4 linked regions of the Pelodiscus sinensis genome follow. The protein of the gene in region 1 binds, or shares a complex with, the protein of each later gene. Links are inferred from orthologs where the notes say so. Each region holds a gene or a part of one and is shown in the gene's direction. Other genes may lie near its edges.

The links.
Region 2: the proteins of RBBP4 (region 1) and LIN37 are in contact, whole or in part, in a crystal structure (PDB 7N40), measured with the Homo sapiens proteins. The link is inferred for Pelodiscus sinensis from reciprocal best matches to the Homo sapiens genes RBBP4 and LIN37. Residues at the interface, in NP_005601.1 of Homo sapiens: Thr37, Ala39, Leu40, Glu41, Tyr98, Asp99, Ser100, Glu101, Lys102, Gly103, Glu104, Phe105, Gly106, Lys114, Glu116; in NP_061977.1 of Homo sapiens: Asn112, Thr113, Pro114, Leu115, Tyr116, Pro117, Arg120, Arg124.
Region 3: the proteins of RBBP4 (region 1) and AEBP2 are in contact, whole or in part, in a cryo-EM structure (PDB 8VMI), measured with the Homo sapiens proteins. The link is inferred for Pelodiscus sinensis from reciprocal best matches to the Homo sapiens genes RBBP4 and AEBP2. Residues at the interface, in NP_005601.1 of Homo sapiens: Ala6, Phe8, Asp9, Asp10, Val12, Glu13, Glu14, Arg15, Val16, Ile17, Asn18, Leu45, His71, Gly106, Gly107, Phe108, Gly109, Glu126, Asn128, Arg129, Glu179, Tyr181, Glu231, Asn277, Lys317, Asp318, Phe321, Thr338, Asp339, Arg340; in NP_001107648.1 of Homo sapiens: Asn378, Lys379, Phe397, Phe398, Asp399, Thr402, Ala405, Ile406, Arg409, His476, Ser478, Pro490, Asn491, Ile492, Tyr493, Arg494, Thr495, Met496, Pro497, Arg500, Lys502, Arg503.
Region 4: the proteins of RBBP4 (region 1) and PRDM16 are in contact, whole or in part, in a crystal structure (PDB 6BW4), measured with the Homo sapiens proteins. The link is inferred for Pelodiscus sinensis from reciprocal best matches to the Homo sapiens genes RBBP4 and PRDM16. Residues at the interface, in NP_005601.1 of Homo sapiens: Ala39, Leu40, Glu41, Trp42, Pro43, Leu45, His71, Thr72, Ser73, Asp74, Glu126, Asn128, Arg129, Glu179, Tyr181, Asp198, Val229, Glu231, Asp248, Glu275, Asn277, Phe321, Glu395, Asn397; in NP_071397.3 of Homo sapiens: Met1, Arg2, Lys4, Ala5, Arg6, Ala7, Arg8, Lys9, Leu10.

Annotation. Positions count from the first base shown.
Region 1 is NC_134735.1:3,390,182-3,397,293, reverse strand, and holds the start of RBBP4 (histone-binding protein RBBP4), read left to right. Parts: upstream 1-3,919; 5' UTR 3,920-3,942; coding exon 3,943-4,078; intron 4,079-4,166; exon of another isoform or gene 4,167-4,294; intron 4,295-5,886; coding exon 5,887-6,034; intron 6,035-7,112. UniProt on the Homo sapiens protein: Core histone-binding subunit that may target chromatin assembly factors, chromatin remodeling factors and histone deacetylases to their histone substrates in a manner that is regulated by nucleosomal DNA.
Region 2 is NC_134734.1:5,190,975-5,198,579, forward strand, and holds the start of LIN37 (protein lin-37 homolog), read left to right. Parts: upstream 1-4,601; 5' UTR 4,602-4,616; coding exon 4,617-4,626; intron 4,627-6,733; coding exon 6,734-6,787; intron 6,788-7,605. Other genes in the region: PROSER3 (proline and serine-rich protein 3), read right to left, coding at 1-1.
Region 3 is NC_134711.1:114,664,443-114,672,273, forward strand, and holds the start of AEBP2 (zinc finger protein AEBP2), read left to right. Parts: upstream 1-4,704; 5' UTR 4,705-4,894; coding exon 4,895-5,448; intron 5,449-7,831. UniProt on the Homo sapiens protein: Acts as an accessory subunit for the core Polycomb repressive complex 2 (PRC2), which mediates histone H3K27 (H3K27me3) trimethylation on chromatin leading to transcriptional repression of the affected target gene.
Region 4 is NC_134733.1:20,850,368-20,858,474, forward strand, and holds the start of PRDM16 (histone-lysine N-methyltransferase PRDM16), read left to right. Parts: upstream 1-4,929; 5' UTR 4,930-5,030; coding exon 5,031-5,067; intron 5,068-8,107. UniProt on the Homo sapiens protein: Binds DNA and functions as a transcriptional regulator. Displays histone methyltransferase activity and monomethylates 'Lys-9' of histone H3 (H3K9me1) in vitro.

The DNA of each region.
Region 1 (7,112 bases):
TCCTAATTCAATCCTAAATTGATAGTGTTGAATTTGTAAATGAATTCCAGGTCAGCTGTCTCCCTTTGTATCCGGTTTTTTAAATCCGTTCAAATCCATTACTGACTGTCCAAGGAGGTTAAAATGTATCCCTACAGGTTTATGTGTGTTACCATTCCTGAACTTCATTACAAAGGCAATTTCCCCTCTCTGAATAGTCACATCTCCACGTCAAATACTATGAATAACTAGGTTGACCATACATACTGATTTTTCCGGGACTGTCCTGATTTAAAGGACTCTTTCCTGGTCCCGCATCAAGTAGTGAAATGTCCTGGAAAGCCCTGCTGGAAAGTCCCCCACTACTTGACGGGGACTCAAACGGGAAGAAGTGACTGTGAGTCCATTGCTCCAGGTGCGGCGCAGCATCAACAGCGTGTTCCCAGCTGGGGCGGGCTTTTGGTGGCACGTAGTTTCTGACCACTTCATCACCCATTGCCCCACCACCGCACAGCCCCCTTCTTACTCCATGGGACTGCCTCTGTCAGATGGGGTCCGGGTCCAGCTGTACAGCCTCCTCCTCCACACGTGCAGGCGGTGGCTTGTTACAGCAGCCACTCATGTTGGGAGAGAGAGGGTGGCTGAGTAGGGTTGCCAGGTGTCCAGTTTTGAACTGGACAGTCCAGTATTTGAGCTTTCTGTTCGGGAAACAAGTTGAGAAAATAGAAACGAGAAAATAGAAATGTCCGGTATTTTCTAAATAAGATGTAATGTAGATTGTGATGTCATATCAAGTGTGTCCGGTATCTTTATTGAAACCATCTGGCAACCCTATGGCCGGGTCCAAGGTCTGAGTAGCCGCTCCCGAACTTTAGCACTTTTGAACTGCTGCCTGAGCCCCGGCAGGGGACGCGCAGAATCCTTGGGGCGGGCTGCCGCTCTCTCTCCCCCGCACCCCTCCCCGCCCCGCTGGGGGAATGGCAGTGAGCCTGGTCTGGCGAGGTATGTTGGGGTTTCTTCACACACCCCCATGCTCTGTCAGTGGGAAGCCTGACCTGGTGCTGCAGCCCCGTGGATGCACTGGGATCCCCGCTGCATGTGGGGGGGGACTGAGTTCCTGTTCTGTTCCCCCCTGCAGGGGGAATGACAGCGTGCAGTCTGGAGGCTTTCCCTGCTGCAATGGGGTGCCAAGCCAGATAAGCACCCCCCTCATGCTAAGGCCCCGCACCCAAATCCCCCTCACTCACTCCCCTCCCCCCTCTAAGATCCTGCATTCCTGGCTTGCTCTGACACCCTCCCTTGCTCCTGCACTCTCCCTCCTGGCCAGACACCCTACCCCAAACCCCTTCCTGTACATTCCTTCCTGGCCAGACATCCTCCCTCCTGGCCAGAAACCCTACCCCCAGACTACTCCTGCACCCTCCTTTCTGGTCAGGGACCCTATGCCCAGCCTGTCTCTGCACCCAACCTCCCACCCAGACGTCTCAACCTCTCCCCTTTCTGCACGTACCTCCCAGATTCTGAACCTCATCCCTATCCCACACATTGGCAGCCCTGTCCTGCACACGGAACCCCCTTTTTTTTCCACGCCTGAGCCTAGGCTCACCATGGGCAGGGGCTGCTCAGGCCAACAAGGAGCTGAGCCCTTCACGACGGGGTTGCTGCCGCTAAGCAGCCCCTGTTCACAGTGGCCTGGGCTGTCTGACGTGAACAGGGGCAGCTGGACTCAGCGCAAGCCGGGACCAAGCATTCCTGGCTCGTGCTGGTTGCTACACCTCTGAATTTTAAATGTACTAAGAGTCCGGCAGCTCTTACTACATTTAAAATGCAGAATTGCAGTCTGGGTGGCTCCCAGACCCGGCACGAGCCAGGACTGCTGAGTCTCAGCTTGAGCCAGCTCCTGAAGCTACCCTCAACTACACGATTAGCTTGATAACCGCAATTTAACATCCTTTCCTTGAACCTCGTTCCTCTTGGTCCCATCCCCTCACCCTGTGGGGCTAGGATGCCAGAAGAGTGAGGTGTCTCAGTTAAGGGCCAGCTCAGTGTGGGTTGGGGGTTTTTGGAGGAATTTTTTTGCTTCTGGCTTGTGTGGCCCCCAGCTGATTTTTTTGTGGGTTAGTGGCCCCCCAACCCAAAAAAGGTTCCCCCCCCTGCCATAAATAAAGAAAAAATTGAAACCTTTTGTGTTGGTCATAAATTAATATTTTACTGTATTTAAAATGAAGTTTGATAAACTAACACAAGAAAGTTAAAACGCTTAATCTATTTAACAATTTAAGTCAAACCATTCTCCCTAGCTGCAGCACTAGCAAAACGGCTTGAGAGTAATTACGTAATTCACAGTGAGTTTCCATTAGCAAATGGTGGTCTGCAGAAAGGTTTACACTGAGCCAGGTGGTTCATGGGCCAAAAAATTTGAGAGCCACTGAAATACAGGCAACCCTGGCCTCTTCCCCCGAGTTAATGCAATGCAAGTTGGATTAATGCAATTTCAGTATGGTTGCATGGGAGGGTCCTATGGGGGCCAAACCCATCCCTATTGGCAGAGGACAGTGGGAGGAGTTCTTAGAGGCGTCACACGATACCCTTTACTTCCAGTCATGTGTCCATCTTAACCCTGGAAGTACTACCTCCGGGGGTGGGACTTTATGTAGCAGGTGGGCAGGGACTAAGAGATCAGGGGATGTGGCTAATGAGGCTGGGGGCGTGGCCAATGTGTCCTTTTTTTGGTTCAGAAAATATGATCACCGTATGAATAATCCACTTTCCCCCCCTGGCTTGATTAGCTTCATTAACACAAGTAACTTCTCCCTTATATATACTCCTGCTTTTGTAACTTGCGTTCCAATTCATCTGATGAAGTGGGTTTTACCTACGAAAACTTATGCTCTAATAAATCTGTTAGTCTCTAAAGTGCCACAGGACTCCTCATTGTTTCTGCAGACACAGATTAACACGACGACCCCTCTGATAGTGGTAGTAGTGTTGGAACACTAGGTGGGCTTTACCCTTCGGTCACTTGCTCAGATGAGTACCATAGTACTGGCAGATGGGACACGTCCATGCAATGACACGGGATGACCCCAGCTATTAGGGGAAATGCACTTAATGCAGTGCCAGGCCAGAGCGTTGCAGGGATGCCCATCTGGAAATAGTTTTCCACAGTGGTACCTGCAGGAGGGGGTGCAATGGCTTATCCCACCCCCCAGGCTGACCCCAACTGAGGCACACACAAGGGCTAGAAGTTGATACTCTATAGGCTACGTCTAGACTGGCATGATTTTCCAGAAATGCTTTTAATGGAAAAGTTTTCCAAGTTTTCCGTTAAAAGCATTTTCGGAACAGAGCGTCTAGATTGGCATGGGACGCTTTTCCGCAAAAGCACTTTTTGCGGAAAAGCGTCCGTGCCAATCTAGATGCGCTTTTCCGCAAAAAAGCCCTGATCACCATTTTCGCGATCGGGGCTTTTTTGCGGAAAACAAAGCTGAGCTGTCTACGCTGGCCCTTCTGTGCAAAAGTTTTTCGGAAAAAGACTTTTGCCCGAATGGGAGCAGCATAGTATTTCCGCAAAAGCACTGACAATCTTACATGAGATCGTCGGTGCTTCTGAGGAAATTCAAGCGGCCAGTGTAGACAGCTGGCAAGTTTTTCCGCAAAAGCAGCTGATTTTGCAGAAAAACTTGCCAGTCTAGACACAGCCATAGTGTCTGTATGCAGGTGACCACTGGTTGGTGACTGGCCCTTTAAGAAGACCTGCGCACGAGCCAGGGTCCATGTCCCCCTAGATGCCCTACACTGGAAAATGGCGGCTCCCAGGGGAACTTCAGCCGCTAGCGCCTTCCCCCCTCCCACGTGATCCGGAGAGCGCGCTCACCGCCCCTCTGGACCCGCCCCCCCCGAGCCCGCTCCGGCGCTCGGATTGGCCGCGCGGGCCGGGCAGTGGGCTGTGATTGGCGGCCGATGGCGCGAAGGGCGCGCGGCGCCGGAGCCGCACGCAGGGGGCAGGAAACAATAGAGCGGCGGCTGGCGGGGACGGAGGGAGGCGAGGAGCCGGCTGGCCGCACCGCCTGCACCTTCGCCATGGCGGACAAGGAGGGTAGGCGAGAGCGCGGGGCTGAGGCGCGGGCCCCCGGCCGGCTGGGGGCCCCTCCCCCCTCCGGGGGACGCGCGCGCTGTGCTCCTACCTCAGGCTGTGGAGAACCTGCCGGGGGGAGGGGCTGCCTCAGTGGCGGGGGGAGGGGCCGCGCCCTCGGTCTCTGGGGAGCTGCTCTGAGCCCCCCCCCTTGCTCCCCCTTTCCCCCCGCCGAGACACAGCCCTCCCCGGAAGGGCTGGGGGCGGGGCTCCGCTCCGAGGCTGGGGACGGGGGCGTGTCTCCACCCGCGCGCGTCTCTGTTGGGGGGGGGGGGGGTCAGGCCGCGGCCCCCTCCCGCCTCCCTCGGGCGCGCCGTCCCCGCCAGGGCCTGCTCCAGTGGGGGGGGGTCACCTGGGGGTCTCCAGGAGGTTCCCTTCCGGGGTCCCCCCCCCACTGCGGGGCCGCGCAAGATGCGCTCCCGCTCCGCGCTCCCTGGGGGGCTGCAATGGGCCGCGAGTGCGCTTGGCTCGTGCCCCCCCCCCGCTTCCCTGGGCCGCCCCCTGCTGCTGCGCGCTCTGCCCCGAGGGGAGGCCAGGAGGCTGCCACCTGCGGCCCCCAAACCTCCTCGGTCTGCGTGTTGGGCTCCGATCTCGCTCAGGCTGCTTTGGGGATGTTGAACGGGTCAGCATCCCCCTTGCCCCCGGTTACCGTTAACCTGGAGCAGCCCCCGGCCTGATGCGGGCAGGGACTGTTCCCGCCCAGCGGGGTCTGCCGCAGGTGGGGGACGCTCAAGCCTAGCATGCGACGGGCAGGTCCGACCGGAGCAGCATGGGTGCGCCTCAATCTGGTCCCATTTAAGCGGTTAACTAGTTAAACATCACTTTTAACCAATTAACACATGAATTGGGGTTTTGCATCCTTAATCTGGAGTCTAATCCCATATTTACTTTGGCGTTTTTATGGGATTCCTAGGTCGCTCGAACCTGCGTAGTATTAAAGAGATTTATTTTTTAATGTTCAATGAAACCACTTTTACAGGAAAAAAAAATGCTGCTCTAAATTGTGGAGAGCTTTGCACCTTCTTTAAAGTAACTTTTAGTGAAGGGTGAGTTGGTAGGTGTAGATTCAACTCATCTGTCTCACAAAGAGAGATGGACAGGACTCTATTGGTTGATTTAGGACTAGTAGCCTTAATGGGGCTGTTTCTAGTATGAAGTGAGCCCAGGCATTGCTTCCTTGTGTATTTAATTTGTATTGCTTCCTACAACTATTGGTTCTAGATTAGACTTCTTTATCTGAAGAGAGAGGTGATTGCATGTGCTGCAGGAGTTTTTTAATCTAGTAGTTGGCTTTTTGTGGAAGTATGGTGTATGCATCAGTAGTGTTGCTATCAGATAAGCCAGGGGTGGGGAACCTCATGCACAGGGGCTGCATGCACAGGGAACTGTCCTCTGGCTTGCCTGGATCCAGCCCCTGAGGCTCAGGGCCCCCCTGCTTCATGTTGGGGAGTTTGTGCTAGTGCTTCAGCCCCCCCCCCCCCCCACTGCAGAGCTGGAGCACACAATCTACTAAACTGGGCCCTTTCAAGGCTCTGGTGTGTGAGAGGAGAGGTGGGGAGTCTTTCTCCTTCTCAGTTTGCGGCCACGTCAGGGTGTGTGAAGATTTTGTTTTTGTTCTCACCTGTGTGTGTGGCCCCTGACTGACTTTTTTCTTCTTCTGTGGGTCAATGACCCCCCCCCCACCCAAAAAAGCTTCCCCATGTACATTCATTGTCTTGTTGACCATTTATAAATACTTGTCCATATTTTTGTGCATCTTTAAAAAACTTTAGCAGCCTTTGATGATGCGGTGGAGGAACGTGTGATCAATGAGGAATATAAAATTTGGAAAAAGAACACTCCTTTCCTGTATGATCTGGTAATGACCCATGCTCTGGAGTGGCCCAGCTTGACTGCTCAGTGGCTTCCTGATGTAACAAGGTAAATTTATCCTCTGACTTTTTGAATGATGAAAAAAGTCACTATCGCGTTTCACATTGCATCAAGACTCTGTAGTTGCTGTCTTCCATGACCAGCAATTTGTGCTCTTGCCTTATCCTTAGTGAGTTGAGGACTGTTACGGCACACCATGTTAACCAATATCTCCACTCCTTTTTGTTTAAAAAATGAACTGCTGTTTGGCAGAATATTTTCACCTCTATTTAAAGTACAGCCGGTCCCCTGCTTACTGACAAGTTACGTACCAAACACTTGGTTGTAACTCCATTTGTTTGTAAGTCGGACCCCATTCGTTTAAATGCGGCCGTACTGTTCGTAAGTGTGGATCGTGTTCGTAACTCGAGGACCGGCTGTATAACTGTTCTCTGATCTCTTCCTGTCCATCCTACCCCAGAGACAAACTTAAAAGTAATCACTGTCATCCCCCTAAATTACTGAACCAATTTATTTTCCATCTTCTGCTTGTTCAAAGTGCTAATAAACCTCAAGACTTTACTCCACTAGAAGCTCCTTGGGGGAATATCAGAGATACTATAGATGGGCAAAGAAAACAAGTGAACTTTGATGCTATAAGGACTCCAGTATGAGAGAGGACAGTGGTCTCCAGCCTTTTTAAGCACAAGCTCACTCTTTGAATTTCAGTCCAGGATCTACCTGAAACCCAATTACCCCTGCTTCACCCCTTCTGCAAGGCCTCACCCTCCTCACTCTGTGAAGATGGGGTACAGAAGAGGGGGACAGAGTGACATCAATGCTTCCCTGCCTCTTGTCTCCCCCATTCTGCACAATAAGCAGGAGGCTCCTGGAGCAGCTCAGGGGCTCTGGGCAGGAGCAGCTGGGCAGTGAGGGGGGACAGCTAAAGTGCTGCAGGCACTTGAGAGCCTCACAGCCAAACCCATCAGGATCACTTGTCTGAGGCTCCAAGATTTACCGATAGATCCCAATCTACTGGTTGGTGACCACTGAGATAGGAAATCTCTACACCACAAACAACCTTGCTTCCATATCTCAGAAGGAGAGCAGGGACAATACTGAAATGAGTGAGTAGTTTATGTTTTTG
Region 2 (7,605 bases), on another chromosome or scaffold:
TCTAGAACCAGCCCCCGGGCCCGCCACCCCCAACCGAACTTGCCGCCCCGGCTGTCGCCTAGCAACGGCCGCCGGGCACGCCGGGTAAAGCCGCCCGGGTCGGGCCGTGGCGTGTCCCATAAGGCACTGCGCCTGGTGGGATTTCCCTCCCCCCTTCGCTCAAAATGGCGGGCCAGGCGTCTGTGGGCGGGTCCGGACTACGCTTCCCGCGAGGCGCAGGCTCCCAAGGTGCCCCGCGCCTCTTTTAGCGCGCTCTGAGGCTGAGGAAATGCTTTGACTACAACTACCGTGAGGCAGTGCGCCAGGGACTCCCATGGGGCAGTGCGCCGCAAGTCTCCGTATCGCATAGCCCATGAGCCGTAGAGCCCTTTGCCCACAGCTCCCGTCGTACTCCTCCCGCTCGAAATAGCCGCATGCGCGACACTTCCCAGGAGGTAAAGCGCGGCCCGCGGACACGAGGCGGACTACAGTACCCAGCGTGCCCTGCCAGATTCTCTGGGCGCTAATTGGATGTCGTCTGATGATTGGCGGCTCCGCTCTCCAGTGAGAGCGGAGCAGAGGGTTGGGGCCATCGTCACAATCGGGCAGTTCCTAGGAGCACCAGCAGCGGGTGCCGGAGGGAGGTGAGAGCCGGGGGCTGTGAGGGGCAAGAGGGGCTGTGGGGGGAGGGGCGGAGTGTGTGAGGGGGTGGGTCATTGCGGGGCGGGGTATGTGAGGGGCAGGAGGGGGTGGGTCATTGCGGGGGGGGTGGGGCGGGGTATGTGAGGGGCAGGAGGGGGTGGGTCATTGCGGGGGGGGTGGGGAGGGGTATGTGAGGGGCAGGAGGGGGTGGGTCATTGCGGGGGGGTGGGGAGGGGTATGTGAGGGGCAGGAGGGGGTGGGTCATTGCGGGGGGGGTGGGGCGGGGTATGTGAGGGGCGGGAGGGGGTGGGTCATTGCGGGGGGGTGGGGAGGGGTATGTGAGGGGCAGGAGGGGGTGGGTCATTGCGGGGGGTGTGGGAGGGGTATGTGAGGGGCAGGAGGGGGTGGGTCATTGAGGGGGGGTGGGGAGGGGTATGTGAGGGGCAGGAGGGGGTGGGTCATTGCGGGGGGGTGGGGCGGGGTATGTGAGGGGCAGGAGGGGGTGGGTCATTGCGGGGGGTGTGGGGAGGGGTATGTGAGGGGCAGGAGGGGGTGGGTCATTGAGGGGGGGTGGGGAGGGGTATGTGAGGGGCAGGAGGGGGTGGGTCATTGCGGGGGGGTGGGGCGGGGTATGTGAGGGGCAGGAGGGGGTGGGTCATTGCGGGGGGGTGGGGCGGGGTATGTGAGGGGCAGGAGGGGGTGGGTCATTGCGGGGGGGGTGGGGAGGGGTATGTGAGGGGCAGGAGGGGGTGGGTCATTGCGGGGGGGTGGGGAGGGGTATGTGAGGGGCAGGAGGGGGTGGGTCATTGCGGGGGGGTGGGGCGGGGTATGTGAGGGGCGGGAGGGGGTGGGTCATTGCGGGGGGGTGGGGAGGGGTATGTGAGGGGCAGGAGGGGGTGGGTCATTGCGGGGGGTGTGGGGAGGGGTATGTGAGGGGCAGGAGGGGGTGGGTCATTGAGGGGGGGTGGGGAGGGGTATGTGAGGGGCAGGAGGGAGTGGGTCATTGCGGGGGGTGTGGGGCGGGGTATGTGAGGGGCAGGAGGGGGTGGGTCATTGCGGGGGGTGTGGGGCGGGGTATGTGAGGGGCAGGAGGGGGTGGGTCATTGGGGGGGGTGGGGAGGGGTATGTGGGGGCAGGAGGGGGTGGGTCATTGCGGGGGGGTGGGGCGGGTATGTGAGGGGCAGGAGGGGGTGGGTCATTGCGGGGGGGTGGGGAGGGGTATGTGAGGGCAGGAGGGGGTGGGTCATTGCGGGGGGGGTGGGGAGGGGTATGTGAGGGGCAGGAGGGGGTGGGTCATTGCGGGGGGGTGGGGCGGGGTATGTGAGGGGCAGGAGGGGGTGGGTCATTGCGGGGGGGGTGGGGAGGGGTATGTAAGGGGCAGGAGGGGGTGGGTCATTGCGGGGGGGGTGGGGAGGGGTATGTGAGGGGCAGGAGGGGGTGGGTCATTGCGGAGGGGTGGAGCGGGGTATGTGAGGGGCAGGAGGGGGTGGGTCATTGAGGGGGGGTGGGGCGGGGTATGTGAGGGGCAGGAGGGAGTGGGTCATTGCGGGGGGGGGTGGGGAGGGGTATGTGAGGGGCAGGAGGGGGTGGGTCATTGTGGGGGGGTGGGGCGGGGTATGTGAGGGGCAGGAGGGGGTGGGTCATTGCGGGGGGGGTGGGGCGGGGTATGTGAGGGGCAGGAGGGGGTGGGTCATTGCGGGGGGGGTGGGGAGGGGTATGTGAGGGGCAGGAGGGGGTGGGTCATTGCGGGGGGTGGGGAGGGGTATGTGAGGGGCAGGAGGGGGTGGGTCATTGCGGGGGGGTGGGGCGGGGTATGTGAGGGGCGGGAGGGGGTGGGTCATTGCGGGGGGGTGGGGAGGGGTATGTGAGGGGCAGGAGGGGGTGGGTCATTGCGGGGGGTGTGGGGAGGGGTATGTGAGGGGCAGGAGGGGGTGGGTCATTGAGGGGGGGTGGGGAGGGGTATGTGAGGGGCAGGAGGGGGTGGGTCATTGCGGGGGGGTGGGGCGGGGTATGTGAGGGGCAGGAGGGGGTGGGTCATTGCGGGGGGGTGGGGCGGGGTATGTGAGGGGCAGGAGGGGGTGGGTCATTGCGGGGGGGGTGGGGAGGGGTATGTGAGGGGCAGGAGGGGGTGGGTCATTGCGGGGGGGTGGGGAGGGGTATGTGAGGGGCGGGAGGGGGTGGGTCATTGCGGGGGGGTGGGGCGGGGTATGTGAGGGGCGGGAGGGGGTGGGTCATTGCGGGGGGGTGGGGAGGGGTATGTGAGGGGCAGGAGGGGGTGGGTCATTGCGGGGGTGTGGGGAGGGGTATGTGAGGGGCAGGAGGGGGTGGGTCATTGAGGGGGGGTGGGAGGGGTATGTGAGGGGCAGGAGGGAGTGGGTCATTGCGGGGGGTGTGGGGCGGGGTATGTGAGGGGCAGGAGGGGGTGGGTCATTGCGGGGGGTGTGGGGCGGGGTATGTGAGGGGCAGGAGGGGGTGGGTCATTGGGGGGGGTGGGGAGGGGTATGTGGGGGCAGGAGGGGGTGGGTCATTGCGGGGGGGTGGGGCGGGGTATGTGAGGGGCAGGAGGGGGTGGGTCATTGCGGGGGGGTGGGGAGGGGTATGTGAGGGGCAGGAGGGGGTGGGTCATTGCGGGGGGGGTGGGGAGGGGTATGTGAGGGGCAGGAGGGGGTGGGTCATTGCGGGGGGGTGGGGCGGGGTATGTGAGGGGCAGGAGGGGGTGGGTCATTGCGGGGGGGGTGGGGAGGGGTATGTAAGGGGCAGGAGGGGGTGGGTCATTGCGGGGGGGGGTGGGGAGGGGTATGTGAGGGGCAGGAGGGGGTGGGTCATTGCGGAGGGGTGGAGCGGGTATGTGAGGGGCAGGAGGGGGTGGGTCATTGAGGGGGGGTGGGGCGGGGTATGTGAGGGGCAGGAGGGAGTGGGTCATTGCGGGGGGGGGTGGGGAGGGGTATGTGAGGGGCAGGAGGGGGTGGGTCATTGAGGGGGGTGGGGAGGGGTATGTGAGGGGCAGGAGGGGGTGGGTCATTGCGGGGGGGTGGGGCGGGGTATGTGAGGGGCAGGAGGGAGTGGGTCATTGCGGGGGGTGTGGGGCGGGGTATGTGAGGGGCAGGAGGGGGTGGGTCATTGAGGGGGGGTGGGGAGGGGTATGTGGGGGCAGGAGGGGGTGGGTCATTGCGGGGGGGGTGGGGCGGGGTATGTGAGGGGCAGGAGGGGGTGGGTCATTGCGGAGGGGTGGGGCGGGGTATGTGAGGGGCAGGAGGGTGGGTCATTGCGGGGGGGGTGGGGAGGGGTATGTGAGGGGCAGGAGGGGGTGGGTCATTGCGGAGGGGTGGAGCGGGGGTATGTGAGGGGCAGGAGGGGGTGGGTCATTGAGGGGGGGTGGGGCGGGGTATGTGAGGGGCAGGAGGGAGTGGGTCATTGTGGGGGGGGTGGGGCGGGGTATGTGAGGGGCAGGAGGGAGTGGTCATTGCGGGGGGGGGTGGGGAGGGGCATGTGAGGGGCAGGAGGGGGTGGGTCATTGCGGAGGGGTGGAGCGGGGTATGTGAGGGGCAGGAGGGGGTGGGTCATTGCGGAGGGGTGGAGCGGGGTATGTGAGGGGCAGGAGGGGGTGGGTCATTGCTGGGGGGTGGGGCGGGGTATGTGAGGGGCAGGAGGGGGTGGGTCATTGCGGGGGGGTGGGGCGGGGTATGTGAGGGGCAGGAGGGGGTGGGTCATTGCGGGGGGGTGGGGCGGGGTATGTGAGGGGCAGGAGGGGGTGGGTCATTGCGGGGGGGTGGGGCGGGGTATGTGAGGGGCAGGAGGGGGTGGGTCATTGCGGGGAGGGGCGGGGTATGTGAGGGGCAGGAGGGGGTGGGTCATTGCGGGGAGGGGGCGGGGTATGTGAGAGGCAGGAGGGGGTGGGTCATTGCAGCACTGTCCCCCACTGCAAGCTTGGCCAGTTCTGGCTCTGCTGTTCCTTTTGGTAGCTGGCTCACGTTCCCCAAGGAAATGTGCCCCAAATGAAAAAAGGTAGTGGTGCCAACTGCAAGGAGCCAGAAGCCCTGAAATCCTGACGATTGTCCAGGGTTTGAGCAGTCCTGAGGCAGAAAAGCATCTGCAAGATCCAGCCCCCTTCCCTCCCACTCTGTTTGGCTTTGGGCTTGCACCTTTCCCTGAGGTTTTGTCCACTTCAGTGCATCTGCTGGAGAACTTGGCTTACTCTGCACTTGGCCCATTTCAGTTTCTCTGTGTGGCTTTGCCCAGCGGCTAGAAAAACAGGCCAAAGAAAAGCTTTGCCCAGTGGCGGGTTGGGCGGTCAGTCCATCCTTGCTGCTGTTCCTCAGGTGTTGAGCACACCAGGCTGGCTCTGACCTATCTGGGGCTTCTGAGGGCCAATGAAGTTTGTCGTTTTTGAAAAATCTGGCAACTGGATTCATCATGAAAGGGTCAGGACCAGTGTTCCCTCCAATGTTTTATGTCTGTGTGTGGAATTACTTTTGTTATATGCACCATATGGAGGAGACAATTATGGCACACACTCACAGGTCACGCCCACACTTGGCCCATACCGTCCCTGGGCAGAACCCACTCCAGTGTGACAGCCCTTTATCTGCAAGTCCTCTCTCTCCCTGGGGTCTGCCCCTCTGTCTCCTGGGACAGTGATTCTAGAGGCCTTCAGCAGACCTGTCTCTGCTGTAGGCCCCCAGGGCCTCCACTCCCAAAGGGAATAGTTCAGCCCTGTTCTCCAGACCAAAGCAACTCTCAGTGTAAAACAGGAGGGTTTATTGAACACAACAAAGGGACCCTCAGGCCTGTAGGCCTGGCCCCTCTCAGCCCAGCATGTCTGAGTCTCCCCTGCAGCTGAGTGGGCTCTGCCTAAACTCTCCCTTTCCAGTTCAGAAGCTCCCTTCTTCCAGCTGAGTCCCCTCCGCAGCCTTTGTCTTCAGTCCAGAAAAATAGGGTTGCCTGGGCCCCTCTGCTCTCTTCTCCATTCTTTATTCTCTCTCCCCCCAGCTCCCCACTCCCCACCCCGCTGGAACAAGCTGAGCAGGTCACCCAGGTCTTGTTTCTGCAACCCATTATCCTCCCACTGGCCAGACCTGGCTCTGCCCTCCGAGCTGGGCCTGCCAGTCACTGGGGTCTCCTGTACTGTCCCCTGTAACAACAAACTCCCTCTTCTCCCCTTGTTAAACCAGTAACACCCAGGGACGCTGAGTGCCTCCTCTGTGCGTGCAACCTCTTTGCACTTCCCCACTCAGTCACACAAGTCATTCTACACAGGGACAGTGTGTGGCAGTGATAAGGCTGAGGAGGTGTAATTGGGGGCTTTGGGCTGGGGCAGGTAGTTGGGGTACAGGAGGGGGTGAAGTCTCCAGCGAGGATGTGGGCTCTGGAGTGGGCTTGGGAATGAGGAATTTGGGGAGGGGCTGAGGCCTGGGCTTGGAGTGCAGGAGAGGGTACAGGCTCCGGTCTGGGGGTGGGGCCAGGAATGAGAGATTTGGGGTCCAGGTGGTAGTCTGGGTTGGGAGGGGTCAGGTGGGGGGCTGGGGCTTGGGCTTACCTGGGTGGTTCCTGGCCTGTGGTGCTAAGGCAGGCCTGGTGCATGCCTCTTGGGGCACCCCTCTGGGCCCCAGAAGCAGCCAGCATGTCCAGCTCCAGGGGATGGGAGGGGCATGAGGCTCCACTGTGCACCATGTGCACTGCTCTCACCCCTGTGCACCACAAGAACCAGCCAGTGGGAATGCGCAGCTGGTGTAGAGCCTCCCCCCGGGACCTGCTACTTACTGCTTCCCTGCCAGCCCAGCACAGAACTGCCCTGGCTGCAGCAGCTCTGGGCTGGGGCTGCGGGAGGGTCACCTCTCCCCCGACTGTGGCAGCTTCGGGGCTGGGGAGAGGCATCTCTCTCCACTGCAGCCCTGAGCCCCCTGGTGGGGCTTAACAGGAGGTTGTGGAGCTTAGAGGGAGGTTAGATCAGGAGACCAGGGTTTTATTGCCCCCTCCTTGCCCCCTGAGCCAAGATAGTACCCAGGAGTCCTGACTCCCAGTTTCCCCCAGCTATAACCCATCAGCCGCCCACCCTGCTCTCCATGCCTGTGTCTCTGTAGCTCGCTCTCTGATGCCCGACCTTTCTCCACAGGGTTCCTGGCTCCTGTCACCATGCTGCCTACGAAGGTGGAAACCGAGAAGCAGGGTGGGTTCTATACCCCTGTGGGTCTGCCTGGAGAACACTGGTGATACCAGATGGCAGGGCGGGCACCCCCCAGCCATCTATGCTGAGATTCCAGCTTCCCCCCCAGCCACGCCCTGAAAGACAATCCCACCCCACAGCTACACTATGCCCAGTGGCTGATTCATTCTAAGACAGCCACAGAGCCTGTGCCTTGTAGGGCAGGGTGATCATGTGGGTGGTGTTGGGGGTTGGGTGCTGGTCCAGTCACGGTCTGTCCCCACTTACCCTGTAACCCGGGTATCTTTGCTCCCCATGCAGCCTGGGATGTCCATAGCTAGCCTACAGGTCACACCGCGAGTGTGTGCTAGGCAGCCCTGGCTCAGCAGCCTGTCTGCAGCCCCACCAGCAAGCTGACCCCAATGCATTCCCCATCCCTATTTCCCCCGGAGACTTCTCTGCCACATTGTTACCAGATTTGCCCAATACTTTGGGGTATGCTCATTTATCAGGGTTACCCTTATGGGACTGGGGGAAAGTTGACAGTTCTATCAGTGTGCTCTTGGTGCTTACTTGGGCTCTCATATGAAGCTGAATTCTCCCTGCTGCCAATTCCCCCTCCCACTGGAGCTCTCCTGCAGGAACTAGGTTCCTCAGGATGGGGTTCTTCCCACCTTAGCAACACACACAGACACTCACACCCACTAACAGAGCACGTCTGAGAGGACTGGGTACTCAGCACTCACAAGCTGACCCCTTCATATGTCCCTGGACTCAGCTGGCTGGGTTTCACAGCAATGCCACACTGCACCCTCCTGTGCCTTTGGACTCCGTGGGCTGGA
Region 3 (7,831 bases), on another chromosome or scaffold:
TTGCAGTCACAAAATAGAGAGAAAGAAGAAGAAATGAAGAATTGTTCAGGGGTTAGAGCCCTAGGTGAATACTTGGGAGACTTGGATTCAGGATCCCATTTTGCCACATACTCCCTTGGGCATGTATCTTTGTGCTTCTGTGCCTCAGTTCCCCATCTGTACAATGGACTAGGGATGTAAGCGACTAATCAACTATCTGAAAAGCAAAAGGTTATCGGATAGTTGACACACTAGTTGACTAATTGCTTTCCTCAGCTGCTGCTTCTATCACAAAGAGGCAGCGGGAGGGGGGGAGAGGGAGAGAGGGTTTCAAAGCAGACTCCCCGCTGATCCTGGGCTCCATGCAGCGCTTCCGCTTTGAAATGTGCAAGAGCCCCAGAGATTGAAATGCCACATGGAGTTCAGGATCAGGGAGGAGTCCACTTTGAAAAGTACAAGAGGCCCAGCTGAAATGTACAAGAGTTCCTGCAGTGTCTCTTGTACATTTCAAAGGCAGAATGTCATGCTAGTCCTTATCAACTAATCGAACAGTCGATGGAAATACCATTGACTATTCAATTAGCTAATTATATTTAACATCCCTACTTTCTATCTCATAAGTGGGTTCTGAAAATGAATAAAATATTGTAAGTTTCTCAGGCTCTACAAAATGTAGGCCACAGAAAGTGTGTCAAGAGAAAGGGAAATTTTCTAATGATAATTTAGAAGTGGGAGGCAAGAAGCCTATCCTAAATTACGAGGGCTATAGAGGGAAAGGGCTTTCACCAGAACGGCTATAAAGTAGAGAGAATTTTTAACAAATACACACTTAAATGGATTTTTGTACTTTCATCAGTATTTTGGTTTTACAAAATGTACACATACACAAAGTTTTGAAAAATTTAGCAGGTCTTTTCAAACAAAAAAGGTCACAATCTGGACTACTATGAGGCACACGGTAAGTACTCTGAGGGGTTTTTTGAGTGATTCTACAATTGTACAGTTCAGCTGGACTTTAATGTTTTCATGCTGGTTTTGCAGCATGAAAAGTCTTCTTTTCTTTTTGTCTTTGAAAAACAAATGCTTTAAATCCAGCAAATGCAGAGTACGACTTCCCATAGGCAGTTAGTTTGAAGTATAATCTCTGAAACTATAGTGATTTACTGGCTAATGTACACACACAAAATTGCCCCATCTGCTGGATGGCCTACTCACATTTTTGTTGTATAACTCTTTCTTGGCAATTCTGCGAGAAGAACTAACAGAGGTGTTGCTAGCAGCTCCATAATTAAGGACAGATTCCATTTCTCGCTTACAGCAGGGATCTCTGTCTCTGTTTTGTATAAATAATACATTGTATCTTCCACAAATATACATGGATAGTTTAAATTTTCCAAAGATTTTCAAACAAATCTGTTAATTAGCAGGCCCTACCTCTTAGACAGAGAATGCTCTCTTTCTTCATCAGATTCCCAACAAAGCAGGGATCCCCTCTATATTCAGTAATGGGCCCCTCGCTTTATTCTTATGAGTCTGAAATTGCCTAGTTTCATAAACGCCTAGATTATACAGGGATATAAAAGTAGACATCTGCCCTGAGTCCTGATACTCTTTTCCCTGGGTGTCAGGTGCTGTTCCATGTAACATTTAATCATGGCCTTTCTTGAACCTCTGGGATCTTCACAAACAAGATACTATGTTTCTGCACCATCAACCTCCTCCTCTAGGTACAGAAGCAGTCCTCCCAGCCCCAGACAGGAAATGAGTCAAAGCCAGACACTGTATTAACATCATCCCTTGATGAGGCAATGGTTCGATCTATACTTTCTCATCCACACATCTACAAGAGCTTCCACACATCTACAAGAGCATCTGCTCAAACATGTAGCTGATTCTCTTGCAACACTGGTGGAGACAACACAAGGTCTTGGACATTCTTTTTGCTGTCATACCGGGTTGTTTGTCACTCCTTATTACAAAAGGCCAGTAAAGCACATCTGGTAAACAACTGTATCAGTACCTCTGACTTCTAAAAAAGTCAGCTAAGAGGTACTGGGTATCATTTGTCAGATCTGAGTATCTGCACTCACCTCTACCTTACTTAGTAATGGTTATGGTGGTTAGTGAAACAAGCCCACTGCAACAGAAAGATAACTTCCAGAGATTTATTCAGATGTAAGAGTTACTCATCTACTGGCCAGTATTTCTGGATTGCTAATTATCAGGTGTTACTGGTGCTGATTTTTAAAATTACATTAAATTTTCAGATTTGACATCTCCCTGGAGAACAGACTGGAGTTTAAATCTTTGATTGCTGATGAACAGCTGGTAGCCAGGATGACCCTCCACGCAGCAATGGATGCCTCTGAATTCAGCCTCTGATTCAATGACAATGTCTATCATTAGGAGTGTGAAAGATCTTTCCCCCCTTTTTATCCACTTCTGCCCCCTTAGTGATAGACATGTCCCTGCTGAGATAGGGAGCATATCTGGACCATTATCAGGCTCCAGTTCTCCAGACCCATGAGGATACCTGACTACATATGAATATTGCAGGGCCCAAAGTGGTTCACAGAGACTTTTGCATTCCTACCAATTGTCCATGGACTGACCATTCAAGTTATAACTGGAAACATGTTATATAAATGGGCAGGGAGGATCCCTTTGATGTAGAGAATGCTCTAGAAGATATTTTTTGTCAAGCTGTGAGTGGATGATCGAGGATTCTGTTATCCATCAAATCTTCCAAGTGCTGGGTCATCCTTTTGTAGACCTATTTCCAACAGCCCAAGAAGATGAAATGTATCTATTTCTATTCCAAAGGAGGTCTAAGCCCAGGATTCCTGTCTGATGCATTCCTCACTCAATGCTTCCTATGGATGATGTATGCTTACCCTCAAATCCCTCTGAGTCCTAGCATGCTCAGAAAGATAACACAAGATAGTAATAGCAACTACTTGGCTCAGGTAGTTTTGGTACCTCCTGGAATTGATGCTCTTATCATTTCAGTCACTAAAACCTTTTAAATTTGACCAGATTTAATACCTCAAAACTATGGGAGCATCTTATCTCTACATCCATCCTCCCTCTTCCTCACACTCACAGCTTGGCTACTTACTGGAGATCAGACACAGAGAGATCATGTTTCTCTGATGTCCAGAACATTTGATCTACAGTAGAAAAGTTTCCAGACTAACATAGGCTGTTAAGTACAAAAGATTCAGATTTGATGAGAATGTAAATTACAACCTATTGATTCCCAGACCCCTAATTCTTGGACTATTTATACTCTATTAAGCACTTGAAACTATCTATGAGAGTGCACTTGGGAGCCATGTTCACACATCACTCCATCCCCTCTTCAATGCTAAAGTTTTTCTCTGCCTCGCTATGATCACATTTTTAAAGAGCCTTATACAAGCTTTTCTCCCCATGAAGGGAACCTCCTTCATTGGACTTTAACGTTGTGCTGACAGGCTTTGTAAGCTGCATTCACTCCATCCATTTAAGCACTTACCAAATTGTTACTTACTGCATGTGTCTATGAAAACATCCTTAACAATGGCAATTACATCAGCTAGATTTGGGGAAAATGTAAGCTCTCATGGTTGACCTTTTCTGTACAATATTTCATATGGGTAAATCATTCAGATCTCTCCCTGAATTTCTGTCCAAGGTAGCAATGGGTTTCCATTTGAATAAAAAGTTTTTTGTCAGTGTTTCCCTTAAAACACTTACTAATCAGGGAAAGGTAGGGTGTACATCACAAGTTCACAGGGCCTCCTTTAATTCACTAAAGACCAAACCTGCCACAGTTTCCGCAAGATGATTTGTAATATTTGCCAACAGCAAGGAATGTCAACCAGTATCTCCTCTGAGATGACTCACGTGAACGTGGAGTACCTTAGGGCCTGTTACAAGTTAGCTAGTTGAAAGCTCTCTCACTCAGACTAGGGCTCACACCCACTTGGGGTTCCTCAGGCCCTATCTCCCTTAAGTGCTGTGGAAAGAGCACCATCTTCTTTTGGGGGCGTGCTACTGCTCTCGTCCAGGGGCACATCCCCCCATGCACATGGTAGGGCAGGGTGCGTGCAACGTTAAGAGTGGGATGGATTTGCACAAGTGCCCAATGATGTACGGAAAGTCTTATCTTATGAAAACCCATAGGCTCTGTCTGTACAGGGGGGTTCTGGTGCAAGAACACGTCCACGCTGCCACATGCTTTTGTGCGAGGGCATCCATGGCAGTGTGGATGCTCTCTTGCGCAAGAAAACCCTGCCGCGCGTCCGCGTCCACACTGCCCTCTTGCGCAAGAGGGCTTACACTTGTTAGAAAAGAGTGTAGCTCTTGCGAGAAGCCCAATGCCGCAGGGTAAGCCTTGCACAAGAGCGGGCGGGCCGTGTGGATGCTCTGCCGGTTCTTGTGCAAGAACCCACCAGTGCAAACATAGCTTTATTGAAGTGTGGGGGGGGGCACCCCTAGCCTGACCCACAGCGCCTGGAAGGGGTGAAGGCAGGGAGGGCCCGTTCTCTGGAAGAGCCAACAGAGAGAAGCCTGGAGCCCTGACTCCCGCCCAGCCTCGTGTCCACTCAGCACTCCCCCTCCCTTCCCTGCCCGCCTCAGCGCCCCCCACCACATTTGGTTCTGCCCACTCGCTCCTCTTCCCCCCCCTCCCCGTTTGGTTCTGCCCGCTCCTAAGCAGCTTCGAGTCCTCAATTCCTCCCCCGCACCGACGCCGCGGGCGCTTCACCCTCCCAGCTCCGGTTTTTTGTCCCCGGGCGGGCTCCGTAGCGCGTGCGGCGGCCCCTCCCCTCTGCGGCTCGCTCGCTTCTGCTGCGCGATTGTGCGGGCGAGAGGCGGCGGCGGAGCGAGCGAGCGACCCAGGCGGCGGCGGCGGCAGCGGCTCGGCGGCGCCATGGCGGCCGCTCTCAGCGACATGGCGGAGCCGGAGGGGCTGCTGCCCGGCGAGGCGGCGGCGGGCGAGGAGGAGGAGGAGGCGGCCGGGGCGGCGGCGGCGGCGGAGTCCGAGGCGCTGCTGCTGCTGCCCGGCGAGGCCGAGAGCATGTCGGAGCCCAGCCCGGAGAGCGCCAGCCAGGCCGGGGACGGGGAGGACGAGGAGGAGGAGGAGGAGGAAGGCGGCGAGGAGGAGGCGAGCAGCCTGGTGGGGAGCAGCAGCACCAGCAGCGGCTGCTGCAGCGACGAGACCCGCTCGCTCAGCCCCGGCGGCAGCAGCGAGGCCGACGCCAAGGAGGAGCCCAAGGGCCCGCGGGGCAGCCAGGAGGACGGGCTGGGCCGCGGCGGCGGTAGCAGCAGCAGCAGCGTGTCCAGCGGCGGGGACGAAGGCTACGGCACGGGCGGAGGGGGCGGCAGCGGCAGCAGCAGCTGTAGCGCCACTTCGGGGGGCCGGCGCGGGAGCCTGGAGATGTCCTCGGACGGGGAACCCCTGAGCCGGATGGACTCGGAGGACAGGTCAGTGCGGGCCCCGCGCCTCGGCAGGCTGGGGGTAGCCACAGCCCTGCGGTTGCTCCGCGGCCGGGGCTTGGGATCCTCGGCCCTCCAGCTCTTCCCTCAGCCAGGATTCACCCTTGAAATCCCGCACGGGATAGGGGCCCTGAGACGCCATCTCCTGGGCCTCCGGCACACAAGAGCTCCTCGAAATTCACCTCTCTTAGCCCAGAGAGACATGGAGCAACACCAAGCCACCGTCACCCACACTCCTGCCCCATCTCCCAGTCTGGGGCAGTAGGCAGCCAGTACAGGAAGGGATGGGTGGGGATTTCCTAGAACCGAGAGTAAGGGTTAGGAGCCGCCAGGTGGGTTGTGTATTCCTCCTGAACTGACCCAGCAGACGGAAGAGAGGTCTCGATACTTTTATTTGCATGCTGATTTTTTGCATGGTTAGTGCTCTCTCCTGAATGATTCTAGTCTTGCCAAGTTTAATGATAGTGAGCAGAAAAGTCCACAACTTCTATACTTTCAGATATCTATTTGGTCTTAAAATCTTTGTTTCTTCCTGAAAGTTTTTCGGGAAAAATCTCTGGTCAGGTGAGATTTCTTGCCGTATAGAAATCATTAACTTATTTTGATAGCCACTCGATTTGGTTCCTTCCTAGTTTGGTGTGCAAGAAGCCCAGCCTTTAAATAGTAGAGTTTAACTACTGTTTCCTGGGATGCTAATATCTCTTTCAAAATACTTTCAAGTGTCTCTAGTTGTATTTTGTGTTTAAAATGCAAACAGCAGGATCTAAACCTCAAAGATCAAGTGCTAAAGGTGTTCTCCATGTATTACAGAGAGAACATAAAGAAGCAGCCTGTCTAACTGTAGGGGGGAAATTTTAGTTTACTTGATCAGCATAGATTGTTATCTGGTATGTGGAAAAACCTCCTCGTGTACCAATCTTTGCTGTGTAAAATATTAGTTTTCTTCATTTAAAAGCCACACAGATTGATAATCCATGTAGTTAGTAGACAAGGTAGGTGAGGTAATTTGTATGGTGGACCAACTCTTCTTGGTGTAGTGATCTTTACAATTTTTTCAGGACTTGAAATATGTATGTAACTGAATCCAAAGAAGGATGAACTTTTTCGATTCCTATATAGATTTATCTTTTACACTAAATCTTTAGTTAATTCCTTTTTGTAAATGAACAATGAACTTAGCGTGCAGAACTGAATATTTAAAAATACTGTTTTGGCATGATTTAAGTTCAAAAACATAAAACTAGCAGCTCATTGACTGTCAAGTGCTACCACACAAACTAAGTGATAGGCAAATAGAATAAGAAATGCTAAATTAGTTACTTGAGTCACTTTACTAGTCCAACTCTCTTCTGGAGCTGCTTAATGAGTTTCAGAATGGCTTAATGATTCTGTAACTTTGATTATATGTGGTGCTTTGTGTCCTTGACACATGTATAGATCATTGCCCATTATTATTTTTACATAAATATGTTTTTAATTTTACTTAAGTGGAGAAATCTGGTTTATTTGTTCATATAGAGGAGCAAATGACAAAACAGTAAGGTTCTTAGTAGCATTTGAAAAGTTATTTATTTAGGTTTATAATGTGCTGTGTTTTTATCACTCCTAACAGGACATGATAGTGTGTGTGCGCGCGTGGGGCACGACGACAACCAAACTATGTTAAAAGCTTAGTTGAAGAAAAGCTTAAAATGTCCGTTCAAATACTGCAGAAAAGTAGCAGATGAGATTGATGTCAGTATATTTGAGTATTGACAACCTCTAGTGTTCAAATCAGCCACCTCCAAATCATAGAATTGACTTGAAAATCCTGATGATTTAAGAAACAATATTTTGGGTGCTTTGCATTTACCTTCTGCGTCATATGCTTTTAGTATGTATTGGTGTCATGTTTTCATTCCTTTTTCAAAGTGGAATGCTAGAAACTTTTTAAATGAGATTCTCATTTAAATTGCATAGAATCTGGGAGTTTGGGGCTTTAAAATATGAAAAATCAGTATTGCCAATCCACACAATTTTACTACAATGTCTAGCAATATTTGGTGTTTTTTTTAATCTAATGTAAAAACCACTTCATGTGTTTGAGTGACTATCTCGACTATCTCCTGGCCTAGTAGATACTGGAACACAGATACGAGCTAACTAGCCTGGTGCAAGTTAAGGATATTAAGAAGTGGGTACTTGACTAATTGTGTATTCAGTACAATTTGTTTCGAGTACCCGGTTAGTCAGTAAGGGGCCCTGCTGCAGCTCTGCCGTTTAAATGTAATAAGAGCCAGCCATGCAGGCAGCCTGGCTCCTCCTACATTTAAACTGCAGAGCTGCAGTGGGGGTAGGTCCAGAACTTGGTGCAAGCTAGGATTTAGTAGTC
Region 4 (8,107 bases), on another chromosome or scaffold:
ACCTCCTGTTTTGACAAGCTGCCGGGGGCGCAAAAAAAACCCCCACCCCGAAAGCCGCTGCCCCAATCGGGCTGGCGGGGGGGGGGGGGAGGTCAAGCCAGGATCCTGGCCGCAAAGTGTCGCCTGCAGCGCCGCTTCGAAGTCCAGTGCCGAAAGTCCAGCCCAGTTCGAACCCCTCCAGTAGCCCCCTTCGAGCCCCGGCGCGCGCGCGTGTGGACACTCGCCCCGGCTGGATTCGGACTCGGGTGGAAAGAGGGGTGGCGGCAGAGCCTAAGAAAGTCTTCACGTGGCCATCTCGCCCCGGCTGGTTTCTGGGTGCCTGGCAGACACCTCCCCAGCTTCCTCCTGCCCCCGGTTGTACCGCCTGGGCCAAAAGCGAGTCTCCGAGGCAGAAGGTGCGCTCCTCTCCCCGCCTCCGGGGCTTTCGTTTCTCCCAAAGGCCCGAGTTTCCCGGGGAGGAACGCGAGTCGGATCCTGCCCCGGGGCGCGGGGAATAGCTTTGCCCAAGCCTGAAACCTGCTGCGGGCATGCACCCAGCTTGCCCATGGGGATCCGGGCGAGCGACTGTGGCACCCCCAGCGCTGGGCAGGGATTCTCTGTATCCTGCTCAGCCACTCACCCGCCCAGTCTGCGTCCTCTGAAATCGGTGTAAAAGGGCACCGAGCTCGCCGGGGGAGCGGGGCGTCCGGCTGCGGGGAGAACACACGGTTATTCATTGGGCTAACCTTGCCAGGCCAGGCGGCCACATGTGACTCCCTTCCCCAGCAGACTAGCAAGGAATAGGGGACCACTCCCCCCCCCCCCCCCCACACACAGATCCGTGAAAGCGATACGAATTCAAACAGGTGCAAAACGGGATCAGATGGATTCCTTTGTACAATCCAACACCCGGTCCTGCGTCTGCTCTCCTCTGCCCGGGGAGGTCGGGTTTTTGACAGCCAGCCGCAGAATCGGCATGCAAGAGGGCTACAGAGCTTTCTTCTTTTTTCATAGTTTGGAGCTCGGGATTTGCTACGCCCCAGCTTTGGGTCGTTAGTCCGATTTCTCCCCCCTCCACCCGAGGTCAAGTCTGAAATGCAGCAAAACACGCCGTGCTCTGTGCGGGCGAACACACCAGGGACTAGGGGAAGGCATGCGAGAGCGTACACAAGCAGGCTGCGAGCCGGCTGTACTTGCGCAGCGAATCGAACTATAACCTAGAAGGAGCGCCGTGTAAACGGACATCACGCCTCGATTTTTTTTTATAAGAATGATACACTCGAAATATGTTTGACTTAAAACAAATTGTTCCCTGGAACAAAAGCGATGGGGGGGTCTTGTGACCCAATCCGGAAAGCACACTTCGCATTTTTAACACAATTTTAATAATTTCAGAATGTGTACACGCACTAAACTTGGGGATTAGTTCTTGTTTTTTTAAAAAATTCCTCCCGCAATTCCTCCTTTCACAAATGCTCTTGGATAAATTCGATGTCAGTTTTGTACCTGTTGTGGGGGGTTTTTTTCGGACGGGGAGGGAGAGGGAGGGAAAACTGCACCCCCCGTTTCCACACGGGATATTTCCTTTTTTGTAAATTATTGTCGGTCAGATGGACAGGGGGAGGAGGAAGGGCTGGGGGACCCTGAAGAGAAATCCGTTTGATCTTGGTTACAACATTTAAATAGTGCACGGATCACATTCACTACAGGAGCGTTGTAAATACAAGGACAAGGAAAGAAATCGTTCCCCAGTCAAGCTAAAGGCTACTCCCAGCCTCTTTGCTTCTTAGTTCGCAGCCCACCAGCTCGTTTGCTTTGCAGTTTCATTTCCTGCTTAATTTGTAATTAATAAATAAAATTAATGCTTTCAGAAAACAGGTCGGCGAGTCCCCCGTACTGTCTAGGAATCTGTCCCGAGAAAACCCTCAAGGCCAGGCCAGTCGGGTACAGCGGTTAGGGGAAGGCAGCTGCTGTGTTGTTTCTGGAAGGAACACACCTCTAGGTATCCGGGATGCTACACTTTTGGCAATCGAAAGATTTATGGTTAAGAGTTGCGAAGCCAAGGAACAGGCTTTCCAGTGACACCTTTGTGCAATCGGTGTTAATTGAGGTTCTTGCATTCTAGCCGGCTTTATAGGGAAATAGTATGTGTGTTGGGGGGGGGAGGGGGTATATAAAATCCTTAGGATTCTGCTGTGCTCTCTTCCCAGGTGAAAGTGATCTCTGACCGTTTCGAGTAGATTAAGCTCTTGCTACGCACCTGAGGGTCCCTTCACTCAGCCCGACAGCTGGAGTCTAGCACAGTTGTTAAATGTGTCAGCTAACAGAAGCACGGTCTGCCGTTTGCGGCTCCCTGGATTGAAAAGTTAGCTGGTTCTATTTCATGCATGTGCGTTGTAATGCTCGTCTTGCTAAGGAGTCAGTGCACGATACGCCTTGTAGATTCGACCGCCAGCCAAGAATGACTTGCACGCAGAATTATTATTTTTTTAAAACAACCCCGCGTGCAATTAGCAACCCTATGCGGCGAGAAATTTCATTTAAAATTATTCCGCTGTTCTTCCTCCAATCCTCGTGTCAATTGGGCTGCACGCTTATATCAATATTTGTTCAATCGGATTTTTTTTAAATGCCATTCGGAAAAAAATGGACGGGGGTCTCCCCTCCCCACGGCTGTTTTGCGGACACAATGAATGGCCAGTAAGGTGGAGGAGAAAATAACTACGAGCAGTTAGTTTAACCCAGACTAAACCCAGACATTTAGTTTATTGCCAGCTCATTTTAGGGGCGTGGAAGATACCTAGAGCCTGGCTAGGAAATAGTTCAACCGCTTTGAAACGACAGATCAACAGTGGCAACATTTCAGCGCCCCCCACAATGAGGGTTTCAACCCTTCGGGTCCACACAAGGACTAAATATTGATACATTTGCAAGCGAGCGATCCACAGTGGGAATGTCAGCGCTTTTGGCGACCCAGGCTTGGAAGTTGCCCTATATTTACATTTTTTAAAATGGTCTCCTTTTCCCTCCCCATCTATTACTAAATAAGTAGGGCCCTGCTTCCCTCTGCAATTAAAGCGCGCGTCGAGGAGAGGAAACCCAATAATTAGCCAGACTAATTCCACCCCCCCTTCCACCTGCAGTGCAAAAGTTCAGCTGGCAGAATGGGTTCCAGGAGCAAGCCCGAAGCTCTGGCTAACTTTTCGCTTTGTTTTTGGCTTGCCCTGGAGTGGGAGGCCTCTGGTCGCCGGATCCCTATGTGGCTCGGCACATCCGAGGATTTCTACCCCTTCCCAGTCCGCTTATGTTCCTGAATGTTTATGAAGTCGCTCTCCCTCCATATTAATCTCATTAAATCCTACCTTTCAACCTTCTTCCGTGACCATCTGACCTGGCCACTTGAAGGAAAATAGCGCTTTCTCCGCAGTCAAAGGCAGCCCATCAATCACCGGGCTATTTACTCTTCGCTCCTTTCTTCAAAGAGGGGCTGTCTGAGCTGTCGCTGCCTCCGCTTCCGGGGATCACGGACAACTCCAAGGTCTGGGCAGCGCTCGCTGGGCAGAAGCAGGGTTTTTAATTTTCCCGAGGAGGCGAGCGCTATTGTTACGGGGCGTCCGGGGTCTGGCTCTGCGTTGGGACCTGCAAGGCAAAAGCAGGAGACTGCTCCGAATCAGGGTCTTTGCTCCTCCGCAGACCCCCTTCGGCGGGCAGGGGATGGGGAAAGCAAAGCATCTCTCAGTCCAGGGAGGGACAACCTAGGAACGGGATGGACCAGTCCACACAGAAGGTCGAGATTCCCCCCCCCCCCGCCCCCCAAAGTGTGTGGAGGAGTGGGTGAGAGAAAGAAACGCATAGAAACGATCTGGGATCTTTCTGAAATCCACACTCAGCTACCTGCTAGAGCTTTGAAGCAAAGGCACAAATGGAGATGGGAACAGATGTTTCTCTTTAATACACCCCTGCATTCTAATTCCCAGCCTCCTTTAAAAACACCGGCGAGCTGAGTTTGGTACCGTTTAACCTATTATTTGGTCTTAATTAATTGTCGAAAAAAGAGAGCGGAAACATACAAACCATGCCAAATAATACAGATTAAGTGTGATTGCATCAGGTGCTAAACGCAGCCGCCCTGTGCTAATCACCCAAACACAATTCCAATTCCCCTATTAGCAAGAGCAAGGTTACCTCTCTATTTAACAGGTAACATGCTGGCCCTGTGTAAATGTGTACACTGAATTTAAGAAAGGACGCTGCTAGCCACAAGTGCCACACATACACACACGCCAAACCCGGAAAAGGTATCAAAACGGGGGTTGTTTTCAATGCTTCCTGAAAATGTGCACACCTCAGAATTTAGAAATGGAAATAGTAAAGACAATTCTTCCAACGGTCTTGCAAAAAAAAAAAAAATGCCTCGTGAAAACCATTGCACGACGACGTGGTGCAAATCCCAAATCATGTTTTTAAATAACCACGCAACTACTCCGAATCAAAGGGAGGGGAGAAGAATTGCACACAACTCTTTTTGCGCGTCTAAAGAAAAGTTATAGGAATTTTCTTTAAAAAAAAATCATTTTTAAAAAATGCCTAAAAAAGCATGTTTTAAATACTCGCCATTCGCAAAGCACACCCTCCCCCCATCTCCGTGCCATACCATTGCTATGAAAGAAGAGTAATAATTAATAATAAATAATCACCTCTTTCTAGGATGGGACCTTGATCCTTAAATATTGTCCGGTGGGGAAGGTCGGTGTGCAAAGGGTTAGGCGCGGAGAGGGTTGATTTTTCTTAAAGGGGCAGATCAAGGAAAGGCTGTGATGGTGCTGGGGGGAGGGGGGGGGAGAGATAAGTGATCTGAAGAAGAGGATAGGACCAAAAAAAACCCCCTGATGGTGATGAATACATTGGAAAGTTTTTTTGGCCCTGGCGAGGGTGTCAGATTGAATGCTCTGTGCGCATGTGCGAAGGTGTCCAAACTGACAATGCTCGGGAGATGAAGATAGTGTGTAGCTGCTTCTGGGCTCAAGGAGAAGAAGCCACAAGCCGACAAGATGAGATCCAAGGCGAGGGCGAGAAAGCTGCCCAAAAGTAGGTCCTTTCTTTCCCTTCTTCCGCTTCCAGGGTCCCCCTCCCCCCCGGGGTCCCGCAGGATCTGCGCCGCTGGCGGGCTGGGCGCTGCGAGTCGCTTGGGGGGGGCCGGAGCCCCCTTTTCGTGCCCTTTCTCCTGCCTAGCGCCCAGATGAGAGAGCCCGGCTGTCCACCCCTTTTGGGTGTGTGTGAGCGGCTGGGTCCGGAGACGCACTGTGCGGAGCCGAGCGGCGGCTGGCGGTTTCCTGAGGGCTGGGGGGGGGGGTCTGTCTTGCACCCCAGAAGCGCTTTGCTGGGGTGCACCCCAGAGGAACTGGAGGAGAGCAGAGCTGGTAACGAAAGGGGGGGGGAGAAGCGAAAGTTCGCTGCAAAGTTGACGAAAGGGGATAGCAACTTTTTTTTATTGAGTCGTTCCAAGTCTTGTGAAATAAAATATTCCTGGCTCTTGAAATAGTGGGCGCTAGAGGTCTGCGTTTGGCACCAGCCTTCTGAATCCAGAGAGAGGGAGAGACTTGGTGTTTGTGTGAGAGAGAGACCCCAGCAGTCTAAGGGACAGTTAGTTAGGAGAGAGAGTGAGAGAAGAAGGGAAAAGAATTTGTATCAAAATGGATCCTTTTTTCACCAAGGCTTTGGATTCGCAGACTCCTCCGGGGAAGACATTGACACAGAAAGATTTAGACTCGCTCAGCTAAGGGAGGGGGGCAAGGAAGTCGGGGGGGGGGGGGCTCTAAGGGGGTCTCTTTCTAGAGGTTGTGATTTTGGAATTTCAACGTCTAAGGTTTGCGGCAGATTCTATCCTCACCCCCCCCCCCCTTTTCTCCTGGACTTTTTCTTTCTTACTTTCTGTTTTGCAAAGCTGAATCTTCACACGAGGAGTTGGCTGCCTGTAGAAAAGAGAGTGGTTTTATTCCTACCCCCACCGCTTCCACCTTCTTTGTAGAGTCCAGCTTTAAATACTTGCTTGTGTTTCCGAGCTGGTTCAATATTAAAGTTTGAGTGCAGTAGGGAATTTAAGTGCCTAGTGAATCTGTCAAAAGCTGCGCTTTTTTTTAAAAAAAAGTTTGTTTCATTCCGGCTCTGTGCAAAATATCTGGAGGCTGTAATTTCAAACTCATTCTCTGTGCTCCTTACAATTGTGTTTTAATACTTTTAAAATAGCGGTGTCTCGTTTAAGTAGCAGCCCTTTCACACTGTTTCTTCCAGGACTTATTAATATTTGGACGGTCCAGGAATATGTGGGATCCGATAGGAGCAGCCCCCTTTGCATACACACACATTTTTAACGTAGGTCATGGCAGTGAAGAGGGGAGAAAGCTGTTCCAGGTAAGAGGAGCGAAGTTTGTGTCTAACTGCTGGGGAGGAGGAATTAGAATCTTAAATGACCCTGGGGCTAGGGGAAAAGGGAGAAAACTAACTCGTATTTTAGGTTTATTTTATTTTGTAGTTTAGACTTTTAATTTTCCAAATGGGGCCGGCCGGTAAGTGAAAGAGACACAGACATCTCTTATAGCAAGAGTTGATTTCAAGGGTTGATTTTGTAATTCAGGTGTAGTATTGTGTAGCATCTTTGGTGTGTCTGTGGTTTTTTTTTAAAGTCAAGGGTTTTTTTTCGTGGTTTACCGGGACCAATTCTTGCGTCCACTCAGACAGTGGCTTCTCCCTTCTTCGGTTGGAATTGTTCTTCCCAATTTTGCACAGCACAGCCTGAACTAAGAGTCCGCCGCTCCCTACATGCTTAATAATAAAGCAAATCGCATTTTTCCAGTCGTTTGCTTCCCTTTTAATCCTTGCAATGTGAAGTGGCTTAGCGTAGCCTCTGAAAACTGACACTTCCAAACACTTTTTAATTTTTTTTAAAAGGACACAACTCACATCCGCAAGCCCGAAGGCCAGGCCCAGCCGCTTAACTCTGAGGTTGTATTTTTTTCAATACGCCCCATTAAGACACCCAACCTCCTCCCACAGCTGTGTGCATGTGCGGAATATACGCACCCCTTCCTCGCAGTTTTGCATGTGGCCGCGTGAACACAAAAGCGGCGTACAAAGGCGCGCGGGGCTTACAAAGCGCTTGGAGTGCCGCCTTAGCGAAGCAGTCTTGCACTTAACACTGTGCTTTTCCACCTATGCCTTACAGGCCTCTATTTAAAAAATACCCCGGAAAACACTGGCTATTTATCGTCTTTTAGGTAAGAAGCTGAACATGTTTTTAAAAGGCTTCCTCCCTCCCCGGTGGAGAAGCGAGGGGAGCATAATGGAGTAGTTTTTTATGTTGTGGTGTAGCAGCTGAAACGAGAGTGCGTCTAATGGGGAAGTGCGCCCAGCCCGGCTAGTTAGACGCACAGGATTCTATAGCATGCGCCCAGCTTGCTCTTAGAGAGCAGAGTGCATCTCCAGGACCTAATCTTCCACCCCCAAGCTAGAGGGGCTTCGGGAAGGGAACTAGCCGAGGAAAGCGTTCCAGGGCCCGGCAGCGCCGGGCAGGGGAGCTGGGGGCCCCTCCGCTTGGAACAGGAGACTTCACTTCTGCATCAGGTCTGGTGCCTGAGCGCTGAAGCTGGAAGTGTGGACTTGGGAGGCTGCGCGCTGATTAAAATCAGGTGTTTCGTACAACTCGCGGCCCAGCGGTTTATGGGGCTTGAGCCGAGGGTTTTTAGGGCTCACAGTTCAAAACAGTAGCCCAAAGCGACGCTTTCCATATCCCGGGAGTATTGATTTGCCAAACAGACGATACACACCGATGTGCGGCTCTCTGGCTCGCTCACACACTCGGCTGCTGCTCTTCCCACACAAAGCCCCAGCCGGATCATCCTCAGCACACCTCTGTACGCGCCCTCGCCCAGCTTCCAGCCCGTCCGGGCGTGCTTGCAGCTACTCATACGCCCATCTCTCCTCGGTAAAGCGATACACCCGCATTCGGCGGGTTCGGTGGATAGGCGCGCAGTCTATTAACAACTCAATCTGTTGTAGAATTTCATTTCATTGGACAATATTTTAAGCAGATGTGAAGTTCTCCTGGGAGTTTGCCTCGATTACCTGATTT